2 linked regions of the Drosophila melanogaster genome follow. The gene in region 1 interacts genetically with each later gene. Each region holds a gene or a part of one and is shown on either strand. Other genes may lie near its edges.

Region 1 (7,859 bases):
CGCATCTCTCAGCCTCTAAGTTAGTTCGATACTCCCCCAATCTCTTGATAATGTCATCAATGCTAAGTTCCTGAAATAAATTATTTGTTTTCAATAAATTTGTTTGATTTAGGTAAATAAAACCTCTACCTTTATGAATGAAGGTAAGCTCTGCCGGATGTAATCCATGTTGTTTATCGCTATGCACCACTCCTCCGACAAAACTATAAAATAAATAAATTCAATACAAACAATATATGATAAAAAATGGTTTCCAATAGAACTTACTGAAATTTTTATTGTTATCATCAGCAATAAAAATATTCTCAACTCTGCGGGACATCTGTTGGGCATAAAATATGCAGCAGCGACAAAGATCCTGTAAAATTATAATAATTAGTAAAGATAACATAACTATATTTGTATTCAATCTCACATTGACGATTTTGGCTACGAAGATGTAGGAACCCTCGACCTCTGGCCAGTCAAGTTGTTGCCAAAATATCTTGATTTGGTAGAATATGGAAAGTGTGTCCACTGCCGAGGAGCTGTATTTCACTGTTTCATCGACCGCTTTCAGCTGATCCAAATCAATTGCTTTCTGGATGCGACTCAATGCCTTAATTATTGAAATATCCAGCCAGTGGGTAACTCCCCTCTCGAACCACGGGTAAAAGTTGGACAGTTCCAGGGGCTCGGAGCAAAGAGATTCTCCTGTAAACAGAAAAATCAATTAGTGATTTGCTAAGAGTGAGGACTTCAGTACTTTACCTAATTGAACGTAACGTTTGAGTATTAAATAGACTTCAAACAAAGTCGTGCCCATATTTACATTCTCAAGGTTGGGTAAATATTCGAATTGATCGTCTGGCACATCCAATCTCTTAATATTATTGCACACTTCTATTATAATCGATTTACAGATTTCAGCAAGCTTGGAGTCATAAAATAAATAAAGTACAGCGGAATAGTTAAGCTGAATTTTGCTGGAAATGAACAAGGTAAATAATAAATGATTGATTGATTCATCGATGCACAATTGTAAAACTTACTGGTAAAAGATTTTATCGAAGTATTCCATTGCACGTTGCAGGTCAGACCGCACCATTTGTATCAGTTTAATGACGTACTGCAGCTTTTCGTCATCGGTTTCGGTGTTCTTAGATTGCCTGCTGCCCTCCACTATGTGCTCCAGCCATTCCCTTGTCCCCGTGTTGATAGCATCCTCAATGGCAGTATCAATATTGCACGTTTCATCAGTGTCGTTTGTGTGTAGCCAACCATACACCGATTTGGGGAATATGTCTACACTCTCCGGCACTTCCAGCTCCTTAATCTTCTTTAGAATATCCAGAACTTCGTTCAGAGCTCTAATTATGTTTTTATCACTGGTGTTTTTGGATCTTAGTTTCCTTAGCACTGCGAAGCACGAGGGAAGCAGTCGTTTCACGCCATCCCAGAATGTTTTCACATCCTCGGAGTCGTTCTGCATGTAAGTAATCACTGGCACCACCACGTCCAGAATTGAATTGAATAGTGTGAAATTGAGTTTGTGCGTCTCATGGATGGTGCTGTACGCGTGCCACTGGCTGAGCGCACAGTCGAAAGGAGTTAGCCCACTCTGGGCAGCATGCTGGGATCGAATGAGTTCGGCATTGGGACTGAACTTGCCGCTCCACCAGTAGTTGGCCACCTGCGAGGTTTCCAGCTCGTACATCAGGAGCAGTTTCAGTAGGTTCTTGTGCTCCTGAACGGCGACACTTTTGTTCTTCTCCGCACTCAAGGCCAGATTAACCAGAAGTGATCCTCGACTGCGTCCCTTGCTTCCCTTTTCCAGGTTATACCATACGGTGAGGCCGGAAACGGGAATAGACTGAAGGATATGTGTGTTTTTTTTTTAGTGTTAAGATCTTTGATAATATTAGATCTTTTCCTACCTTCAATGTAATTGCAGCTCTCCCAATCAGTTCATTATCATGTTTTCCCGAGGAAGCTGTTACAGCAATTTCCTTCATCAGCTTGCTAAGTCCTTTCACACCCTTAACATCCAGGATTTTGTTGACTTTTTCCTTGACGGTTTCCGCAGCATCAAAGTCCCTGAAAAAAGGTAAAATATTAAATGGGAATCATGCGTTAAAATAGATAAATGGGATTCTAGCATGAAATTCTAATGTTATAAAACTAACACAACGTACTTTACTTTAACTACTCAAACATATTTCAAAAAGAATGATGAGTTTTTAAGATGCCATACCTTCGAGTTAGTTAGTTTCAGACCATAAACCTATTGATCCGCGATAAGTGCAATTTAGAGTTCAAGAAACGTTATCAGCCAGATAACGTAGGTTTTATGAGTGCGTTATATGAGTTCAATATGCAAACAAAGTCACACTTACCACACTTCAACGATAAGAACTTCGTCTCGAGCATTTTCAGTAATTGGCCTAGCAAGAAAATAAACATTAACAAATATATATCAGTTTTTATACGAAATAATCAAGACTCACAGTGAAAAGTGCTCCTCCCATATGGGATTCAATGTGGCAGGCTTGACCGATGAGTTGTATCGATGGGAGCCATTCGATTCCAAGTACAGGGTAACAAACGGATCGGACAAGCCGTTTGAGTCCTTGGACATGAGGTTCTCGGCCTTTATAATCTCGACATTTAGTCTAACATTGGGCGGTTCTTTCAGTCGCGCCGCCTCATAAATTTCCTCATGAGTGGCGTTCGGAATTTTGAATGCATCCTGCACGAATTCGACCAAACTGTTTGTGCACTCTTCGTTGTTTTCACAGCCAATGTTGTTGAAAATTTCAAATAATATCTCTTCATAGAGATCTGTGACCTGCAAAAGCAAAGGCAACAATTAGTTTAATCCCAAAACGCAGGCGACATTTATAAACCATCTAATCGGTGAAGTATTTTAATTTCTTTGAGCAAAAATAGAAATAAGTCACTTCTCTAAAGGTCAAAGCCTAAGTAAATATCGACAAATTCCAGAATACGGAAATATAAACAAATCTTCGCAGGGAAATTGGAAAAACAGACCCAGCTGAGGTCATGTTTGCTTAGATACATTCTATATAAGTATCTACTGGATGCTCGCTACAGTGAAATGTTTTATCATTCCCATAAACTATCCACTAACATAAATATTGACTTAGCTCCAAATTCGAATCAATAAACTTCTTAGAATGTTCACATTTTCGCTGATTTTTTTTTTGGTATCTTCTAGCTACACTTTACATAATTTTCAATTATGATTTTGGCAAAAAAAAAACAAGTACATAAATATATGTATTTAAGCACTGAAATACTCTGTGCACTTAACTCGAGTGACTCAACAATTATGCCAAATCAATGAACTTATACAATCGCTTTTGTTTACCGAGGCACTGATGAACCGATTCCCTCGGATATTCTTAAGATCAGTTCATTATGGATTACAGATATATCCATATCTAGATATAGCATCCAAACTTCGTTCTCTACTTACGGTCATCGAGTGGCAGACCGCCTTGGCATGGGAATCAAGTAAATGCTTGTGGACACCACGGAAGTGTCGACTGGAAATGCTTCCATTCCGATTCAGTATGCTCATCCGTCGCTCGAATGGTTTGTTGAGCGACTGGGTGGAGGATGCCTTCCGCGGCAGTCTGATTTCGTCGCATCCGGTGCGCGTACTGGATCTAGTTAGGCTATTGGTTTTCGAACTTTGGTTAGACGAACTGTGGTTTTGGGAGCCGAACTTGCTCAGAACACGTGGTAGCGATAGGTAGCTCATGATCGAACCCAGCCACTAACCGATCACTCCACTTTTTCAATGTTTTTCTCTAGGTGCAAGCGAAATTGAAATTTTTGGCAAATACTCTCTGGCAAATATACAATTCGATATAGACGCACATATTATCGAGCACGATCGGATGCGCTGGTGGACAGATCGTGGACACCCACGGACTCAGGAACACCGACTGGACACAACCGCTTCGGAGAAGAGTCTGTAGCTAAGTACAATAGCGTCCGGTGTGGGAAATCTTTGCGATATCCGAAATATCTTGACGTTGACCATGAGATAAAAAGTGTATGCGCTCAATTCGATTCAGATTGCTTGGTGTATTTGTGCATACTCGTATGTACACGATGATGGCCAAGTGTTTGTGAGCAATAATAAAGCAATCTTAAGAGAAAATGGTCTATTTTCGGATACAAAAAGGAAAAGCTCAAGGTGGTAATGAAAAATGTATTTTCTAAAGTACATTAAGCTTTCTCCCCGCCTCCCTTCAATTGGCCGCTCTAGGGTTCTTCAATGTTTGCATGTTCTGCAGTGCTTGTTTATGCTGTCAGTATACATTATTCGGTTTGTTTATACAGTCCGACTATATAGGCAAGTTCTTTTGTTTATTGTGCAAGCGTTTCGTTTCTATGGACACGACTTCATTTTCGGTTTCTGTTCAATTAAACTACACCTGCCCAGACGGCAAACATGCGAACAGCAAAATGTTGGCACAAGATAAAACATTGAATTAACTCGTAGGCGATCGTTACGCCGCGCTGCAAACTGGAAAACTGACCTATGTCGCAACTTCCTCGGTAGTCGGGCCTAGGAATTACACATGACGTGAATGTGACCAGGCTCAAAAGCCATCCATATTCACCAATACCCACCATGGTGGATAGCTAGTTTGGGAGTCGACCTGGTAAAACCCAAACTGAATGACGGAGCTTTATCTTGATGTACTTTCACTCGAATCCTAAAAGCTACAGTGCATACTAACCCAACAATTCAAAACGAGTTCGTAAAGCGGCGATTATCAATACTCTATCATGAATATATATGTATATATATATTAGGGCGGATTAAACCATAAATCATCCTTAAACTGAGTTTTACGAATTCACAAGAGCTCGTATGAATCACATGTATAAATATGAAAAATCTCTTAACGTACGCATTTGGGAGTATGTAAGATACTAAATTAAATAAATAATTTAGTAATCTTATGATTAAACTATAGGTTACGTTTAGTATAAGCTGGAGCTCTATTAGTTGCACCAGTTGGAATGCAGTTTGATTGTCTGATTCGTTGTGACCTTTTAATGGCTTTGTCAACCTGATTCACAGCACTGATTTCTCAATTACAAAACTTACATTCATCACTGGCGCCGAGTCCAGAACTGAAGTGCTGATATCCTTGTCCGAACTGGACGCCAGTGTACTCTCGGTGGCAAAGGTATCGATGCTGGTGCACTCCGAATCCTGGCTGAGTTGCAAAGTGCCATCGGGACTCTCGTCCGAATCTTCTTCTCCGCCGCTGCCATTTTCCTCCAAGGGAGCCAGTGAACTTTTGAGGACGCCCTCATCGATTTGGGACTTCTGCCGCAGTAGGGATCCAAACTTTTCGAAAAATCCATCATCTCCGTCTTGCAGTCTGCGGAAAAAGTGCAATTAGTAAATAATTCGAAAAAAGTCATTAAATATTATCTGCACTGGCTAGTCATCACTTAATGGGGATTTCATTTCGATTAGGGATACTCGTACTATGAGCAAGCTTATGTAGATGTATTTGAAAGCCCAGTGAAAAATACCCTAAAACTGAGTCATGTTTTAGTTGCGAGTGGGTGGTAAAATCGATCTGTGGCTTCCCCCACTCCCTTACATCACTTGCCATTCCTCACGCACACACGTTAATTTCACTTGATAATCTTTAATTTATCTGATGACACAGTTCCAGTTCTCCAAAATGTTCATATTTGTCTAGAGAAATAGAAACACACATTTCGGCTCGTCTGGCGAACAAATGTTTGTCTATCGGTGAGTTTTCAAGTTTTCTACAGGTATGCGTGAGTCTGTATTTTATTCATCCAACTTACTGGTGTTCATGCTCCGTGGGTGGATTCATTTTGAGCTCCTGCAACTTGAAGAAGAAGCCCTTCCACATCTGCTCCTCGTCCATTGTGATGTTGCGTTTTTAGCTTCAGAGGCACTGAATCGAAATCGGAATCCAACAAGTGTCACCGGAGTGTAGAAACATACTAACGGCTTATTTGCACCGAAACCGAAACGAACAAACGATGTGATTCATTGCCAAAGCTGCTCTCCGACGTAGATTTTTCTCAGTGGTATTCACACGCTCTTCCCTACACTATCGCAAACACATTATAATGAGCTATGGATGTTTGTAGTATCTAACATTGGGCGAAAGTGGGGAAATGGGAAGGAACGGGATGATACATACAGACAGACACCTGTTGCCATGGTGATCGGACGTTTTTTCTAGCTCTCATGCTAATGATTTTAAAAACTTATAGTTTGTAACTCTTGAAATTGTTGAATGAAAATCCATTAAGAAGTTACCAATCATCAATGGTTCTAATGGTGGTAAGCCTCACGCACACCTGTTTATGTACATATACTCTTGAAGGGCTAGGTGTTGGTATTCTTGTAACTACCTTTGCAGACTGGTGCTTCCATGGTCAAACTACGCACTTTAAGGCACATTTTCAGATGCCAAGCTAAATTATGTGCGCAACTATTTAACTACTTTAAAAACATACCTTATTTTTTCAAATATCCTTAATTCCGAGCGCCGGAAGTAACTTTTTAACATGATTAAGTCCTTTGCAAGGTCAGAATGCCAGATTGAATTAGGCTAAGAGGATTTGCAAATCCATTAGGAATTTCCTTAATTTCAATTCGAATTAACGTCTCCGTTTGTTTTTTTCGCACCCTTTAAAACTTTATTTATATCTTTTAAAATAAACAAAGATTAGATTAGATCAGTTTTGTTTATTAATTTGGTATGTAAGATATACCAACATAAATGAATCTACCGAATACCGTATTTCGATAACTTACGAATGGCAGCCCTGCAGTCCGATAATCATAACAAACCCACGGCAATAACAACAAACAAATCGTATCTCTTGTTTTTGCTGAAATTATAAATTAAAAAGCAATGAATTTAAAGTATAAGCGGCGCTACGAGAGCTTAAAACGCTCCGTCAAGAGTTATCTACTGGTAAGATCTTAGAAACTAGGGCGAAGTTATGCAAACTTAAGAGTATTTACAAGAAACCTTAAGATTCCTACTCACATATATGTTTACATTATAGCATAAAACATTTACGGGAAGTTATATGATCTATTAACTTTATAATACCAATTTCAGGAGAACGCCGCCCTCACGGATGAGATCTGTCGTCTGCAGGCCGAACTATCTGTGACCCGATCCCAAAGACTTTACTTGATAGAGCGCCTCATGTTTCACGAGGGCTTGGAGAAATCCAACAGTGGACGACCCAGTGTCTCGAATGGAAAAAACGACGCCGCTGAAACCACAAAGAAATACAGTCCTGTAGTTTCGCATAAGAACCCCGTCGAAGATAAGCCAAAAAATGTTACAATTGTACGGAAAAAGAAGCCCATGTTTCCGATGAACCTAAATAATGTATTACTCCACTCACTGGGCGAGATTATATCAGTGAATCCCAATTTTCACACTGAGAGCTGGATATATCCCGTGGGATATGTGGCCACACGAATCTACGCCCATCCCAAGGATCCGCGCAAGAAGTGTGTGTTCACATGTAAGATTTTAAATAACGCCGGGATTCCTCAGTTCCAAATAATACCCGACAATGATCTGGATGGAGTTTTCTTCGGAGAAAGCGCCAATATGTGTCACATGGAGCTTCTAAACTCCATTCAGCGGTCTCCCTGCGTTAAAATTAAAATACCGTTCGACGTACAGGGCGAGGTTTTCTTTGGCTTGTCAAACCAAAAAACACAATCGCTGCTTATGATGGATCCTGCCTTTCATCAGTGCACGAATTTCAAGGGATTCGCGGTGCAGAATGTGCAGTCCTTAAACAGCGCG
Region 2 (7,875 bases), on another chromosome or scaffold:
ATCGTTGTTTTATTAGAAATCAATTCGTTTAGGTTTGCAAATTTGACTAGCGATACACAACTACTCTCTACTCTAGATCAGCGGCAAAAGCAAATATGCAAATGTAAATGTTTTTCACACAAAAGTTTACCTTTTGACCAGTCCTTTTTAGGCTGAAAACTAAAATCACATCCACACACAATTTCTGACCAAACACAGAACTGGCAGCAAACTTACCTGTAGCACACGTGAAATGAGAATAGATAATTTTTTCGGAATCTGGATTTAAATCTACAAACATTCGCAGTATAAACTCTCGGGCCGTTATTGCATCTCGCTGAGGACCTGTTTCGATAAGAAGGCGAATATGAAGTTACGTCTAGCGTGGTTCTACGAAAACTAGCAAATAATCTACGGATGATATTGGCGATTTAAGGCAATTACATAGATCTTAAGTACATAAGGTGAAAATCCACCTGTGGCCGTTGTGAAATGCGAATAGCATTGACGTTCGGGATCTGGATTGCAGGCCAAGTACTTTTTCAGAACGAACTGTTTGGCCGCAGCGTGATCCTGTTTTGGACCTGGTTCATTGCCGCATAAAATCGTACATAATTATGGCCACCTTTATCATGCGGAACACTTACCATCGTATTCAGGAAAATAGTCTACCAAATGCGAATACATTATTTTCTCTTCCAACAAGTCCTTCTTATTCAGGAAAAGAATAACTGACGAATTTTGAAACCAAGGGTATGTAATTATAGTACGAAATAAAGCTTTAGATTCCTCCATTCGATTCTGTGAAAGCGTACAGGTGATTATTTGTTTAAAAAAAATATATTCATAACTTGAAATCATACCTCATTATCAGATTCAAACAAGATTTGATCGTACTCCGATAGCGCTACCAAAAATATAATTGATGTCACATTCTCAAAGCAATGAATCCACTTTCTTCTCTCGGATCGCTGACCACCGACGTCTACCATTCTGTTTATTAAGAAAAATATATTATTGTAAGAAAAGTTAACCAACAAATTAACTACATATAAGGCCAAACATACAAGCATTTAATTCTAGAGCGCAAGCAACGAATCTATTAGTAACTAAATTGTAAGAAATCGTCTTCACTAGCTTTACAATGACCATTTACATTACTAGCCTTGCCGGTAATTACCAATTGATATTTTTAATAGATACCTAAACACAATGCCATCCAAATCGAATGGATACTCAAGAATGCCAGTTGTCGGCACTCGAGCACGCAGAATATCCTGCTCGGTTGGCAAGTAATCAGCCTGTTCAATTCGAGCTAGATCGCTCAAGTAGCTAAATTAGATAAATTAATACACTTTTAAAACAATGAACGGAACCAAAAGCAGTGGCAAAAATAGTTTTGCAACCCGTCTCAGTCCATCAATTTCGCTGAAGGCCCTAACTAAGTCCCTGAATTGTTTGCTTGAAGAGACATGCGCTAAAGAAATTCTTAAGTGTGTAGTTACAAAGTACAAAATAAATTTTAACCATAACCAAACAAGAGGTCATGCACATGCAACGAAGTAAGGGTAGAAAGATGGTATGTACCTAAATCTGATTTCTTCTAAATCAAAGGGATACTCAATTATCCCTGTTGTGGGCACACGAACTCTTAAAATGTCTTGCTCAGTGGGTAAATATGCAGGTTGAGCCACACGATCGAGATCCTTCAGATAACTATACATAGACAAGATAATTGATTTAGTTTGCATAGTCGTTTCGGTAGTTTCAGTCTCTTCAGTTCGTTTTTCGGTCATTTTGCGGACGGATTTAAACCGTTCCCTTTGCATGCCAACGGTTAACTTACTATTTGGCTGAATCAGTCAGCTGATATTCCCTACGACGATCATAGCACTCCTGGATGCCAGCATCGTCCCAAAGCGTTTTGATGGCATTCAAGTATGGATCCTCGAACGTGGTAACGGTCTCATAATCGATGCTCATCACCAGATCGGCCAGTTCCTGTGGATCGTAAGATGTTGTTTAAGATTCAGTGACTTCAATTAGATCAATGTTTCACTTACACTATGCTCTCCCTGGCCGTAGGAAATCTTCAGCATATCCATGGCCTTGATCATTGACTGCATGGCCATGAATATGTTCTGAAAAACCAGCTTGATGTACCCACGCTTGTCCTCGTCCGAGTAACCGCTGCCGTGGATAATACGCATCTGTTTGATGAATGTGGACTTCCCGGACTCGCCAGTGCCTGGGGATATAGGATTGGAAAATATATATAGCCATAAGCGGCGGGCAAACAATGCAATTAGCGAGGCGGCTTCAATTGCATTAAGCCAGGCTAAGTGCAATCGAAATGGGCCATGCTCCACTTACCCAGTAGTAGCAGTTTAAGCTCGCGGCGCGCATCTCTCTTGTCCCGGCGCAACTGCTTCTCGATTTCCTGATTGATGCGCTTTTGTTCCTTGGCCTCCTCCGATAAACAGCACTCCATGCTAACTAGATTTATAGACGCTTTCGCGTGCTGCTGCCACTACGCTCGACAGACCGTTCCGTATATAAAATGTATGCTGTTTGGATGGTGGGATGGTCTCCTGGACTCCCTTCTCTGGACCCTCGGACACCTAGCTAATTGGTTGTATGGCGGGCGTTGAATTCACCCGTTCCAAGTTATAGATTCTGTTGTAGTTTCGATTGGTGCATTTGTACTTCGGCTTTGCTCGCTCTGCAGACCTCCTCCAGCGCTTACGATCCAGGCTCTCTTTGGCTATTGCTATTGCTAATTACGGGTCTACGCTAAGTTCTTGACCAGATTTCGGTGACTCGGAGGCTGAGAGTGATGGTTACTAATGAACAAAGACCACATCGAACGATCCAAGAACATCTGCAAGGAGACAAAGCTTTGATTTAGTGCTTGCATAACCGAACTGTAGGATCTATCCAACTATTGCTGCTACGGACCACCACAGTTGTTGGCCCAACGAGAGTTCGCCGCGTTGTGTCCCGTGCTGACAATTAACATTTCATATTTGCTAGCCTGCCCCACTAGCTGGCGACGTCGATGACGACGTCGGATATAGATTGCCCATGGCTACCCATGACTACCCCGGGACTTCCTCTGACCATGGCATTGGCTTTGGTTCTAAGTTCTGGGCCTGCTCTCTCTGCGCAGACCTGGGATCGCCCTCTACCAGGTGGCAATAGATTGAGGAAGCGTTCCCCACAATGCCCCTCAGCCAAGTTCAATGCAAGAAAGCTGATTTTGGAAAATATATGGCTTCGCTGGCCACAAGTTAGCGAGAGTGTTCTCCTATTGGGTGGACCAAGCAGTCTATGGATAAGAAGAATTGGCATATCATTCTAATTCGGAAATAAAAAAGTCACATACCGAAACTTATGATGCAAAAACACAGCTCTATACACAAAACTGGAATATCATTGCATAAACTTTAAAACTCTTAATGTACTTTTATCGTTAAAAGATATGAGTCCACCCGAATCCGCGGTTCATTCATGGGTTCAGCATAGGGCATGCCTATAGAATATAGCCTATAACCACTGGTGCTATTTCCTCTCTTTTCCAACCCCTAGTTTATATATCGAGTGATGGCTAATCCAATTTCGTTTGGCGAACACATTGACATGGGTCGAGGTAAGGCTTTCAGCATGACCACTACCAAATATCGATGGAATACCTAGCAATAATTTTGACAAAAGTCTGACCAGGAGAATTTGGCGGGCTCAGGTGGGCGAATATGGAGATCTGGATAATGATGGCTAGACGCATAGTATTCGGGAGGATTAGTGGGCTGCACTCGGAACACATTGCTCGCTGAGCAAAGCCACAAAATCGAATTAGCAGTGGCAGCAAAATTCAGGGGCAGGGGCACGCAATTGGCGCAATGAAGCGTTTTTTAACAATAGTTTGCCAGATATATCATGCCACCAAATCAGAGGGAGATTTACCTACCGCGAACTGGTCTTATCTGCCTTACATATTGTATATGCTGATGATAAACCACTCTGAGATAACGTTTGATTTGACTTCTTAATCTTTAGACGACTACTGCTCTTCTGAAAATCACTGTTCTAATGCAACCCATTTCCGAAAAACCATTTCTAAGCCGGAAATAGCTTCACGTTACTCATGCAGTTCCTTATCGCATCCTCAGCCTATTTTTGCTGGAGAATTTATGAGCTCATATTTTAGATACAAAAGTACCCTTTCATTATGATGAAAGCATGGCTTTTACACAAAATAAATATATTCGAATGGATTTGAATAAGATGGATGACAATCCATTAAACTCGCCTGGAGAATAATTCGATTTTTGGATTATAATATATTTCGGCCAGTTTTTAGTGGCAACCAACAAGTGGTCGGAGTCAAAAATTAACCACGAAATTACGATTCTTGTATTCAATGAGCATTCAGTATTACTTACTTAACATTACGGAGACACGGGACTAAAGGTATTCAGACGAGATTCTCCAAAAAGATGTTCCGGTTATCGTCTCGATTTGTTTTAGCTACCACTATGTTATACAAAAAATATTGAATTTCGGGTTTTAGTACGCCGATTGAAGTTCTTCCGGATTGATCGTGTTCTTTTAATTTTTGTTTTTGGTTCCCTGCCGATGTTCGGTCTGTTTTAAATATTTTTAGTTTAATCACGCGATTTGCTTTGCGGTGCGTTGGTTGGTCTTACGTTTTTTAGTTAGCTTAAACTAATTTCAAAAGCATTTCGTTTTTAGTTGGTTTGCGGTTTGGAAAACATTTGTTTTTAAGGAACGTGTGTAGTTGGTTATATATTTTTTACTGGTGCTTTTTAATATAAAAGTTACGATAACGTCTGTTCGGCTTCCTTTTAATGTAAATGTGTGATACGATACTATTTATATATGTAGATATATATCTATATATAATTTTCCCTTTTTGCTTCTAGTTTTCGGTGTGTATGAGTGCTGTTGTTGTTGTTGTTCTTGGTTTTTAACGTTTCTTCTTGTTGTTGTTGTTTTTAAACACCAGTCTGTAAATGCAACGAAGTTTCAACAAATATTCATTGTAGTGTAATTGAAACGGAAAAGTATGTACGACGACAACGACGACGACGAGCGGTCTTCAAATTGATTTCACACGAAACACTTAGTGGCTCCTTTTGTATTTAATTTTCTGCATATTTTATGCTTCTTGTATTTGTTTATTTTTCTGTATGCAGTGGAACTGCAAGTAAAGAAGAGAGACAGAGAGATAAGGAGAAGAACGATGGGGGGGGGGGGTGGTATTATGGGTGGTAAGGTGGGAATATGCATTCCGGAAAATCATCATCATACTGGCTAAGGTAAACACACACGACCCTCAGCTACCATTTTTTTTTTCATTTTTTGGTTAGCCCACCCGTTTTAAGCCCAAAAATATGCACAATCCACTATGTAGTTACGCGACCCCAACTAACTTCTCGCTGGCATGCACCGTTTAGTGGCAAAAGAAAACCACATTGAGTTAAACAAACTATTTCTTTTTTAAATTTCTCAACTTTTTTCCTATTCGCAGTGTTTTTCTCGGGCAAGCAGTGCGACTTGCTGCGCACTGCTTTACGAACGAATACACACAAATATAAGCGAGGGCGTTAACGAAACGAAAAAATTTTGATAGCAATGCGATTCGAAGATTTCGCGATTCGATTCGCCGTTTGTTTAACAATTATGGGGGGGCCTTGCTTAATGGCCAGCACTGTTTGGCGAAAAAATACACTTTACACTGGCATTTCGGGGAACGTTTTCGGTGCTGCTAAATTTTTTTTTTGTCGAGGGGGGGACTTTTTCGGGTGGCTGCCAGGCGGCTGCGGATGGCGACCGCTGGCTGGCGGGGAGTCCGTTTGACGGGGATCTTGCTCGAAACTCACAACATATTCGATTTGGCATCGCTCGCTACTCACAACATATTTAATTTTGCATTTTTCGCTAACGTTGACGCACGACCCGACTTTCGATAGCAGGAGGCGTTATTTGTCCGAACCTATCGGCCCTATCGTTCGTCGATATCGATGGTCAAACCAATCGGACGGCATTTGAACTAGTGGTGGCAAGATATCGATGATGGAATAGATGCTCTTAAATCAAAGTCTTCATTGTATTACATAAGGAAGGAGTTTTATTTGCCGCATAATAACTAATAGAAGTGGTTTATAACAAATAAAAACGGATTTCCTGGCAGTTCAGCTTAATTTGAAAATATATTACTTTTGGTATTTTTTAGTTGCCACCCCCACCACAACACATGTCGGTGTTGCCATACGGATTTCTATTCATGTGTGTCAATACACATTCTTAGCAATAAGGTTGGCAACGCCTTACATCCTTCAAATAAGGATGGCAACGCCAGACATCCTTAAAAATAAGGATGGCAGTGCGCCATATTCTCATAATTCAGGATGGCAATGCCTGATAGCTTTAGGAAAGACTGAAAATGTTGTGTCCTTTTCACTCTCTAACAACAGGGAATACACTTACCATGCACTTCCATATTCGTTAAGCTGTGACCCGAACCAATGACTATGATCGTAAATTTTAAATAACTAAATATATGTGTGTATAATTACCATTTAGAACATAAAAAATGCGAATATCGTAAAACGCCGGTCAATCGTCAAATTTACAAGCACTTTCTATCTTCGAAATCAGAAGACATTGCCCGCCAAATCAAAAGACTTGTATTATTTAATCTATGTTTTATTGGCTTTCTGTAAATTATTATCATTTGTTCAATATGTTCATGCGATAAATAAGTGTTTAAATTAATTAAATAAAATTAAAATAATAACTTTACAGTGTGTGCACAATTTAAACAATTATTTCGGGTTTCGTGTGATTTACAATCGAGTTAAATAAAATAAAAACATCGAATCGATCGGTTAGTGACTATTGGATTGTGTTCGCGTTATAAAGCTGTAGCTAGTTCGAGTCTCTCAAACGAAAAATTAAAAACCAAAGTACAAATTAAAGATACACGTAATCGCTAAACGTTAATGTTGTTACTTGAAACAATTTCCAAAACTTCGGGGACCACAGAGGAATTACATCTGGCCTTTTTGCATCGCCCCAAAAATACATTCAATTGACTATAAAAAACTCGTACTACATATTTGCAAAATTCACAAAATACAAAAGGTTCAGGCTGGCTATCTCCTCCGACTTTTGATTTGTTTAACAATTACTCTAGCTCTCGAGTGATATGTTTTACATTTGTGGTTTGCCATTAACAAATTACAAATTAGATACGTTTTGTTCGCATTAATTATGAGCACAATAATAGGATTAACAAATAATATATGTATACGTAGGTTTATGCTTTAGGTTTTCTTGAAACTTAGAACTAAAAAATAATGTTTGAAACATTTTCAAAATATTCTCTCTCTCATTCCTCATCTGTGTGTTCGTTCTTCTTTGTGTTAACAATAACAATTTTATGGTTGGAAGCACTGCCCTAACGAACAATCGCTATAAATGGATTGCCAGTTACCGAATACATTTCACAAAACAAGAATTTATTAATTGGACAAAAGCAAAAGCAGCGCTCACAAAGAAAATTTGGCCAAAAGTTTGTATTTGGATTTGGACCTCCGTTCGTAAAGATTTTTATGGTTGATCTGAAGTTGCTGATGGTTCGTTGCTAGCCCAGTTGTTCCCCAGTTTGTCGCTTCAGATGGGACGCGTGAAGTTGGCGGGGAAGAGTCCCTTCTCGTTGGTGCCCTCCTTCTGACCCATCAGCCAGCCTTCCTCCTGTAAATTGGCAATAAAGAACTGAACTCAATATAGACAGGAAGTGCTGAGATCTGCATTTGGCGCGGAGGGGGAAACTAGCGCGTGCAAAGCTCAAAGGAATGTGTATCTCCGGAT

The links. Genes that interact genetically often act in the same process or in processes that back each other up.
Region 2: of stac (region 1) and Galphaq, changing one suppresses a phenotype caused by changing the other (phenotypic suppression), as found in Drosophila melanogaster (one study listed by BioGRID).

What each region holds. Positions count from the first base shown.
Region 1 is NT_033777.3:25,055,177-25,063,035, reverse strand, and holds the start of stac (staccato), read right to left. Parts: upstream 6,018-7,859; 5' UTR 5,937-6,017; coding exon 5,854-5,936; intron 5,412-5,853; coding exon 5,132-5,411; intron 3,956-5,131; exon of another isoform or gene 3,767-3,955; coding exon of another isoform or gene 3,479-3,766; intron 2,828-3,478; coding exon 2,487-2,827; intron 2,424-2,486; coding exon 2,376-2,423; intron 2,077-2,375; coding exon 1,917-2,076; intron 1,853-1,916; coding exon 1,032-1,852; intron 966-1,031; coding exon 751-965; intron 694-750; coding exon 416-693; intron 359-415; coding exon 268-358; intron 204-267; coding exon 130-203; intron 71-129; coding exon 1-70. Other genes in the region: CG31111 (uncharacterized protein), read left to right, coding at 6,939-7,001, 7,152-7,859. UniProt on the Drosophila melanogaster protein: Essential for tracheal development in embryos. Functions with the GTPase Rab39 and downstream of dnd, to regulate lumen fusion between previously separate tracheal branches (anastomosis).
Region 2 is NT_033778.4:12,610,892-12,618,766, reverse strand, and holds the start of Galphaq (G protein alpha subunit q), read right to left. Parts: upstream 6,028-7,875; 5' UTR 5,921-6,027; coding exon of another isoform or gene 5,916-5,920; exon of another isoform or gene 5,888-5,915; coding exon of another isoform or gene 5,883-5,887; intron 5,201-5,882; coding exon of another isoform or gene 5,110-5,200; exon of another isoform or gene 4,422-5,109; intron 2,981-4,421; exon of another isoform or gene 2,938-2,980; intron 2,861-2,937; 5' UTR 2,471-2,860; coding exon 2,353-2,470; intron 2,228-2,352; coding exon 2,043-2,227; intron 1,981-2,042; coding exon 1,826-1,980; intron 1,696-1,825; coding exon 1,567-1,695; intron 1,312-1,566; coding exon 1,183-1,311; intron 973-1,182; coding exon 843-972; intron 781-842; coding exon 627-780; intron 564-626; coding exon of another isoform or gene 456-563; intron 325-455; coding exon 217-324; intron 1-216. Other genes in the region: CG45086 (uncharacterized protein), read right to left, coding at 5,110-5,200, 5,916-5,920; Amph (amphiphysin), read right to left, coding at 7,678-7,758.